Linked DNA regions of Daphnia pulex. The protein of the gene in region 1 purifies or fractionates together with the protein of each later gene. This does not show direct contact. Links are inferred from orthologs where the notes say so. Each region holds a gene or a part of one and is shown on either strand. Other genes may lie near its edges.

What was found.
Region 2: the proteins of UBX domain-containing protein 6-like (region 1) and nuclear protein localization protein 4 homolog purify together in Homo sapiens (affinity purification with western blotting; 3 studies listed by BioGRID and IntAct, with this or other methods). This does not show direct contact. The link is inferred for Daphnia pulex from reciprocal best matches to the Homo sapiens genes UBXN6 and NPLOC4.

The regions. Positions count from the first base shown.
Region 1 is NC_060023.1:5,743,471-5,747,471, forward strand, and holds UBX domain-containing protein 6-like, read left to right. Parts: upstream 1-1,213; 5' UTR 1,214-1,646; coding exon 1,647-1,707; intron 1,708-1,769; coding exon 1,770-2,093; intron 2,094-2,146; coding exon 2,147-2,277; intron 2,278-2,349; coding exon 2,350-2,598; intron 2,599-2,656; coding exon 2,657-3,190; 3' UTR 3,191-3,435; downstream 3,436-4,001. Other genes in the region: aurora kinase A-like, read right to left, coding at 60-169; synaptojanin-1-like, read right to left, coding at 3,756-4,001. UniProt on the Homo sapiens protein: May negatively regulate the ATPase activity of VCP, an ATP-driven segregase that associates with different cofactors to control a wide variety of cellular processes.
Region 2 is NC_060023.1:4,661,790-4,666,242, reverse strand, and holds the end of nuclear protein localization protein 4 homolog, read right to left. Parts: exon of another isoform or gene 3,896-4,453; coding exon of another isoform or gene 2,320-3,895; intron 2,124-2,319; exon of another isoform or gene 2,018-2,123; coding exon of another isoform or gene 1,830-2,017; exon of another isoform or gene 1,815-1,829; intron 1,139-1,814; coding exon 990-1,138; intron 931-989; coding exon 795-930; intron 731-794; coding exon 479-730; 3' UTR 385-478; downstream 1-384. Other genes in the region: rRNA methyltransferase 2, mitochondrial-like, read left to right, coding at 1-2, 74-334; uncharacterized protein LOC124198209, read left to right, coding at 1,830-2,017, 2,320-3,895. UniProt on the Homo sapiens protein: The ternary complex containing UFD1, VCP and NPLOC4 binds ubiquitinated proteins and is necessary for the export of misfolded proteins from the ER to the cytoplasm, where they are degraded by the proteasome.

The DNA of each region.
Region 1 (4,001 bases):
TGTGCAACTGTTAAGATCCACATCTTAATGGTCTAACAAGAGAAGAATGACAAGCATACTTAGGTTTTGATCTTTCATTTTCAAGCTTAACATCCGGTTTTGCTAAGGGAGCAGTGGTCATAGGTTTAGTCACGTTTTGCAAGTCCCTCAACGGTTGCTTGGTCTCCATTTATAACGTGAACTATTACATCAAAATACCCAACAATTTCTTAAATATTTGGAAAGCCAGTACTAATCATTAGATAATAAAAGTTATACTTATTTGCAGCGAAGTATTCGAGTAAGGTCTCTTTGTAACTAAAGTCAACTAGAAGTCTGGAACTAACGTTACTTCTTTAAAAGTCGGAGAAGATTTGTCTACCCTGTCTGGTTTGAAATTTGAACATTGACGCTAGGGGGCCGATGGGGTTTTAAACGGTAAACCCATCCTCTTGAAGTCTGATTGGTCAAGGACTCAAGGTCGCAGAGAACGATCAATATCAATTAAATTTAAAACATTTTAAAATAATATTTTAACTAATTGTTTTAACATTCCTAAAAATTTTATTAAAGTAAAAGATTAAATAAAATCGATGGGTTATATTTGTTTTATCATTGAAAAGTTGGCAACATCATAATGAGGGGGCTGGGGAACTGAGTTTTTAGGTAACCTTGATAAAATTGCGTGGTAGCATACCTTTTTTTATTAACCCTACCTGAAAACTGAAAACTTATGCAATATATTATGACCCAAGGGCACGACGTAGTAACTGTAATTCTAAAATGAAATTCACGTAGCCCCGTATGGCCCATCAAGGGTTTTGTCATAAAAGAAAACGTCTGTCATATTGTATCACGTAATTTGTCATGCAAATATTGAGAACATATTGCCGTTATTGGATTATAGTTGCCAACAGCAATTTCCTGTCAAAAATGAAATATGTGTTACGATGCGGACACAAGATTATTAGCCTGGTCTGGCCTGGGTTGTAGTGGAAATTGATCGTATAAAACACGCAACTGCTAAACAGCAGTTGGTTCCTGGTTCGTTCTTTCATATTTTGTAAACAAAAGGCTATCATTAGAGTACATGTCATTTCATGATACTAGAATCGATCGAGGATTCAATTCTAAATTTCGTAGCATGGTAAACAACTTAATAATTAAAATTAAATGCATTATTTTACCTAGTGACCAAGCTAGAATGTATAATTATTTGCATAATACCTATATTATAGGTGGATGAAGAAACTTTGGTTGAACAGCAATCTACTTTGTGGGTCGAGGTTTTCGTCGAATATTCCGTTAACTTAATTTATCTTCTAATCAGTTTTGTCATTGACTTTGTTGAAGTGTTACCAGGGCACTGTGAAAGTTTATTTAAATCTATTCTCTTAAAGTTGATTGATTTCTCAGAAATATTAGTGAACTTTTATGATTCAGCTTTTTCTGATTTCCAAATTAAATTATTACAAGTTTTCTTTTGCATACTGACTGTCCATGTATTAGCTATTTGTGTTGCGTGGAAAATTTACAGCGAAAGAATAACACAGAGATTTCTGAAGCCAAGTCAATACGAAATTTCAAGTGAACAGCTGAAGACTGCAGTTTCTGAGTTAAAGCTACCAAGTGAGCATACACCACGGTGGTAAGGCGTAGGATTCAAAATGGATAAAATTAAAAAGTTTTTTGAAAAGAAGAAAGCTGATACAAAATTTAAATTGGCTGGTAATAACATAATAATTAATATGGGTTTGTTAAAAGAGTAATGAAAACTTGTAATTTTTTAGGAGAAGGACATAAACTTAATGAAACTGTTCAACAACCAAAACTAAGCAAAAATTTGGCTCCTACTCAAGCTCGTTCTGAAGCTTCAACTAGTGCAGCACAACAACAAGCTGCAGCTGCTGCATTAGCCAGATTTGAAAAGAAAAAAGACCCTACTCCCCAACAGCGATCAGCTGCAATAATAAGAGCCCAGGCATTAAAGGAATTGGAGCTAGAGAAACAGGATACTTCAATTCAAAAGTTAACTCTGTCTGAGAAAACCCAACAACTTCCATCCTCAAATGAACTTGCTGTTAGTGGAGTTTACTACAAGTGCCCACTGATAGGTAGTATGTGTATCCTCTGTGATAGTAAATTAAATTAATGCAATTATTTGTAGGACCTGAAGTACTGCCTAAAAAAGAAATTGAAAAATTGATTAAGGAGTTTCTTTATCAGCAATTAGAAGATGAGGAAGCAGGACTTACTGCTTGTCTAGTTATACACACATTAAATAAGCCTCAAGAAAAGGTTATTTTTTATCATTTTCAAATAAAGAAATCTATTTCACATTTTTTCTCTCTCGATTAATCGACGATATAGGTTCAGCAATGTGTTGAAACATTGTTTCGCTATTTGGATAACATAGTACAGAACCCAGCTGAGGAAAAGTATCATAAAATTCGTATAAATAACAAAGTGTACCAAGAACGAGTAGGTCGGCTGGAAGGAGTACAACAATTTTTGCAAGCAGCTGGTTTCCAGTTAAAGTCTATACAAAATGCTCAGCAGGAGCCGGAGGACTTCTGGGTTTTATTAAACACACAACCAGAACACATCGAATATATTAGTGTAAAAATTTCATTTTATTCCTGAATACGGTTCAACTATAGATTGCCTATTATTGCAGAATTTACGTGATGGCTTGATAAGCGCGGAAGCGATTCGGCCAGATTTGGATAGAGGAATACAAATTTTGATGCCATCGCAAGCTGCCCAACGGGTGGAATTGCCTTCGGACTTTTTTTGGCTTACAACCGAAGAAATCAAACGAGAACAACAATTGAAAACCGAGGCGGCTGAGAAAGGCTTGATGCTTCGTACTCGGGCTATGAGGGAACGAGATGAGAAGGCTGCATCACGAAAATACCGATTTACCCTGATCCGCATAAAGTTTCCGGATGGTCCCGTGCTCCAAGGAACGTTCAAAGTCAATGAGACTATGCAAGACGTTCGCTTGTTTGTTTGCGATGCACTCGAAGAACCCTTCATAGAGTTCAATTTAGTATCTCCGGCTGGTGTGGTTAACCAACCGGACATTCAAGATTCAACTCTACTTGATCTTCAACTCTGTCCATCAGCAATTTTTCATTTCACTCCAGCCGTTGCATCCTCTTCTGGTTACTTGAAAGACGAGTTAATGATCCTTATGCAATCCATGTGATTGCTTATTATTATTCACTACATCCATGAAATATTTGAACCCTTTTCCAGATAAAATTCTGCATTAGTCACATATTGTTTTCATTTGGTTGTTCTTTTTTTTGGCATTTTTATTTTGCGAAGTGATAAACAAAAATTCCTTTAGGTGTTAAACAGCGACAACGGATGTATTCTGTTTTGTTGGTATTAATGAAGTCCGTTGAGAAGTATGACTAGTTCCGATACACAATGGATCATTCGACACAACCTGAATCAACGCGTACCTTCAATTAGTCTAAAATACAGTATATAAGTTTACGGTGACTGGGGTATAAGTTTCTGCTGGTAGATATGAATTATTGTGGAATAAGCCTGAAACAATTTTTTTTTCTAAATCAGTGCTGTAGAGTATTTGTTGATCACTTCTAGAAGCAGACATTTAAAGAAACACGCAACACATTTAAATTAAGTAAAATTTTTGCCATGAAAGAAAAACAAACAAACTTCCGGTTGATACTTTTGAAGAGTTTGCAGGAATGAATACTGTTAATCTTCACTGGAGTCGCAGGCAGTCAACCACTTACTTGTTATTTTGCCGTGCGGGGAGGGACAGGTGGAAGATTCCTGGCTGGGATGGGTGGAGGAGCCCTCACTACGTTAAACGACTGTGGGGGTTGAGAAGCCGTTGAAATTCCGTTGGAGGGCTGAGCTTCTCGTACTGGTACGACAGTAGGAGCTGACGGAACAGCTGAAGCTTGAACTGTAGAACGGGCGGGAACAGGAGGGAGAGGGCGGGAGACAGGTGGAGGAGCTTGAACTGGAGGAGCTTGAAC
Region 2 (4,453 bases), about 1.1 Mb from region 1:
TGGTAGGGCTGATTTTATTTCAGTTTTTTTTTACCTTAAATTATTTCAATTAATATTTGCTAATTAAATTTAGGCTCCTGCAGCATCGGGTATACGAGATTTGGATCAAGATAGGATATTAGAATTAGCATATTCAGTGCTGCGTTACGCGCAACAAATCTCTATGGACGGAGCTACGCTATTGATAAAATTATGGGCAGGAGGAAGAATCAAACAACTGGAGAATGAGATTGCATTACACTATTCTCAAGTCAAAGTTGTGAAACCACCTAGTAGTAGACAGGATTCAGCTGAAATGTTTATACTAGCTAGTAATTTCAAGAAAAATACATAGTAATTATTTAACTACTTACTTTGCTTTATTCACATTGAAGTCTACTGAAATTTTGCTTCATCCATGTATTCAATTCACCTTAGTTACATCACTGACTCTAAGCACACTTTTAACAGTTTGATTGGCCGGTGACAATTTTTAAATTTAGTGTGGCAAATTGCAAATCTCACACGAAGATAAATTAGGCATATTGATGAAAGTGCAGTGAAGACAGGTCCAGGATTTGCCAGCGGCATCTCCGGTAGCACCTTCTTCCATCGGTTGCCCTGGTGTCGACATTTGATCAGCGTGAGCCAGGAGCTGACGGACAGTGCTCCATTGTTCACCAGATGCCCATTGATTTGCAGCCTCCGCATTTTTCGAACGAACAGCTTCTAATATTGGATCCATACTTTCCTGTTGGTTTTGTAAAATGAATAAGTAAAACAAAATCAAAATAATAGCAATACAAAAAACTTGCCATGAGCGGAAGCATATCCATTGTAGCGACGTATATCAGAAAATGGAAATCTGACGCGGCTTCGAGAAAATTCTGACGATTTTGTTTCAAGTAAGAATCCAAAGCTGACAAATCTTGAAGATGACCATCGATAAGACTAGAAAATTTTAAAAGTTTTGAATTGAAGAACAATATAGTTTTAATAAATGTTAATACCGATTTTCAATGGGAAACGGTTTACGTGAGCCGACTGAAAAAGTAAATATGGGTTCCAACGGAGTAGAGACGGGAACATCGACCAACAAATATTCAACTGGAAGGGGACGAGCATCTCGAGTCACTTCATTTCCATATGAATCCTTTTCCTGTTATTAAAAAAATTCAAAATCATTTCAGACATTAAAATAAAAATCCGAATTAATGGAAACAAATTTTAATTATAATTTACTTAAACAGATTGCTAAATGTTCATAAATTGTGAGATCCATTTTTTCAAATTGCAACATGATATAATTTTACTTCGATTTATTTTTAAATATTGATCTTTTTTTTTTACACGCATCGCAAATCCCGCGTGTTGGAGAAATGAACGAAAACTGAATTGTTGAAACGGCGACAGCGCATTTGCCACGCTGTCCATACGGAAATATGGTCTAAACCAATCACAGCGAAGCCAGTAAGCCAAGGCAGACTAAAAACAAGGCCTGCCCACTAAGGGCACTCATTTCGTGAAGGATTTTACAACAATTTGGCTAATATGATTTAAAATAAACTGATCACAACCCAGACAATTACTCGAGAAGTCAAAGCATATTTTTCCAGTCCTACCCCCAATAAGTTTTCATCAAACTGTCTTACAAATGAGCGACGTTTGCTTTCAAGTTTGCAGCACTACAGTTCCACGTATGTCGAATATTTTAAAGAAGATTTTAATAAAAACACAAATGTTATTGGTTAACTTCATAACAAAAGAAGATTACTCAAGTAGCAGATAAAAGAATATATAGTTAATATAATGATAATATCGTTAAAAATATAATATTATCAATAAGAAATATGTTTGAGCGTGCTGCCGGTAGGGGCGCATGCGACTGCGGGACCGACATCGTGGCCGGTAGAGTGCTCATGAACGTACACCACGTTGTGGCTCTTTTAGTGGAGTGGAGAGAAACTGGCTCGGATCGCCCTTCCCCACAGTTCTCCACACGAGCCGGCTTGATAAGCCACGTGACGCACGTGCAAAAGTAGGCACAAATTCTATCGTTTTTTCCTAATTTCCCTTTAAGCTAGAAAATATCTAACGATTCATAACAGACGGGTGTTAAGCCGAGAAAATATTTTGATCAAAAAGTATACACTTGCTATTCTTAGAGACTGGAATTATTGACAGGAATTCGGCAGCAGACGTATCACGCGGTTGTCCCGCTGTTGCGTGTTGCTGCCATTTTCCTTCCAACCGATATGCCTCCATGCGCCACGCTGCACTAACCAATCTTCTCACTGCTCACGTTTACTAATTCAAGTGCTTTCTTTTGTATTGTTTTAGATACAAAATCTCTTGTAGAGAAATGGAGACTCAGGCAGATTTGACCACGCCTCTCAATGATGCATGCCCGACGTGCAACAACGTACTGGAATTCGACTGGACAAGCGCAGAAAAGATCTGCTTAAACTGCATCCACAATCTCCAATACAAAGATGATTTGATCCTGGATTTAAATGAGATGGCTACTAATTTTTCAATGGTACAGCTGGGGAACTACCAGTCTATACCCACCTCAATGGCTAGCCCCGTCAACTCTTCTCTGCACTCATCACCAGAAGTCTTTCTACCAAAATCTATTGGTGATGCATCAGAATGCCCCTTGCATCACTCCGCCTGCCTCTACTGGTGCTACACATGCATGACTCCTGCATGTCTGATCTGTACCAGTCAGCAACACTCGATGCTGACAGGACACAGGACCGGGCCTTTGAATGAAGCTCAAAGCCTCCTCCTGTCTCAGCTCCAAGTGGAAGTTCAAGCGGTTAAGAAGATTCACAGCGACAACAAACTTTTGACTGGGAGCCACAGAGAATTTCTCTGTTTAGTGATGGAAGCCTGCACTAGCTTGGAAAACCTCATGCGAGAAGAACTGAGCAGTCTCAACAAACAGAGCAGTTCTGCTGTGTCCAATGGCTTGAACGAAGAAGACACTACCCAGTTTCTGCTAAACAAAGTTACTTTTCAACTAGCTGGACTTTCAGGCCCCGACGAGGCAGCTGAAATGCTCAGATCTCTACAATCGGAACGGATTCGCCTTCAGACCAAGCAACAACAACTGGCCATGCAGCTGACTTTGAATCGTGTCATTGGTTCCAGCAACCAAGTACTGGACTTGCATACGTTCCGTCAGGCGGTTCAAAACTTACGATACTCTGGCAATCGTGGTCCGTCTACTATGGAACTGCTGCAGTCTCCACCCACCCAACCCGATCCTGTGGCCCTTTTGGCCAACGTCTGCAACGCTCGGCTGTACACGAAACAACTTTTGGCCAGCTCTCTACTGACTTCGACTTCCCCCAACAAGAGCAACTCGATGGCCAGCGTCCTCTCCCCTAGTTCTCCTCTGCACTCGTCTTTCCCTCGTTTTTTCCTAGATTTGGAAGTCGACGGAATCGTTGAAGGCCGCGTAGTATTGGAAACCCGACCAGATGTGGCGCCCAAGATGGCCAAGAATTTCGCATCGCTTTGCATGGGTGAGAAAGGATTTGGCTACAAGGGATGTCAAGTTTTCCAATGTTGGGGAGGAGAGTCGTGCATCGCCGGTGACTTTGAATGCAATTCCGGGCGTGGGGGACGATCCATCTACGCGGAAGAACCCTTCTTCATGCCCGACGACAGCAAGCTGCCCTGCATTCGAGCGGCGATCGGCATGAGACGAACGCAAAAAAAGCATCACAGCCAAGGGCTAGTGGGATCCCAATTCCGTATTCTACTTCGAGACATGCCCTTCTTCACTGGTGTCTTTGGCCACGTCATCCACGGATTGGAATTGGTGGAACGCGTTTCTTTTCTGGGCGATCATCAAGGCTTCCCTCGCAAACTCATCACCGTGGCCAATTGTGGATTGCTCAGTTAGAAGACAACGTTTCGCGACTTTTCTGTGTTTGCTGCTTTTCTTCTCAAAAAAAAACAACAACAACAACAAAAAAGAAAAAAATGCAAGAGGCATCGGGATGCACCCGAAAGAACCTAATATTTTTCTCCTAACCCTTCGAAAGCAACGAGTTTTTTTTTCACGTAGTGAAATGTAACAACTTGGCTCTACATCTGACCCTTTTCTTTTGACGACCGATACAAATTATTGCATCGCCCAGTTTCAATACTGCCACATGTTGTTTGGTAAATAGCAAGAATTGTTGTTATTTCTTTGTCGTACTTCTTTTTTTTCTGTCGTCGATTTAGTTATTATTACCCTCTTTCTATTTCCGCTACATTTCGTCGCCCCCATTCGTGAAGTTCGGATCAAGCATTTGAAAAATTGTCCCACTTTTTTTTTTCCTCCTCTACCAAACTTTAGCTCCCGCCCCCCTCCACCGTTGTGTTATGGTGCCTACGTTTTGTGTTTTTGGCGTAAACGTTGAAAAAAAAAATATTTCATTTAGTCTTTATTAACATCGTGTGGAAGGCAAAAAAA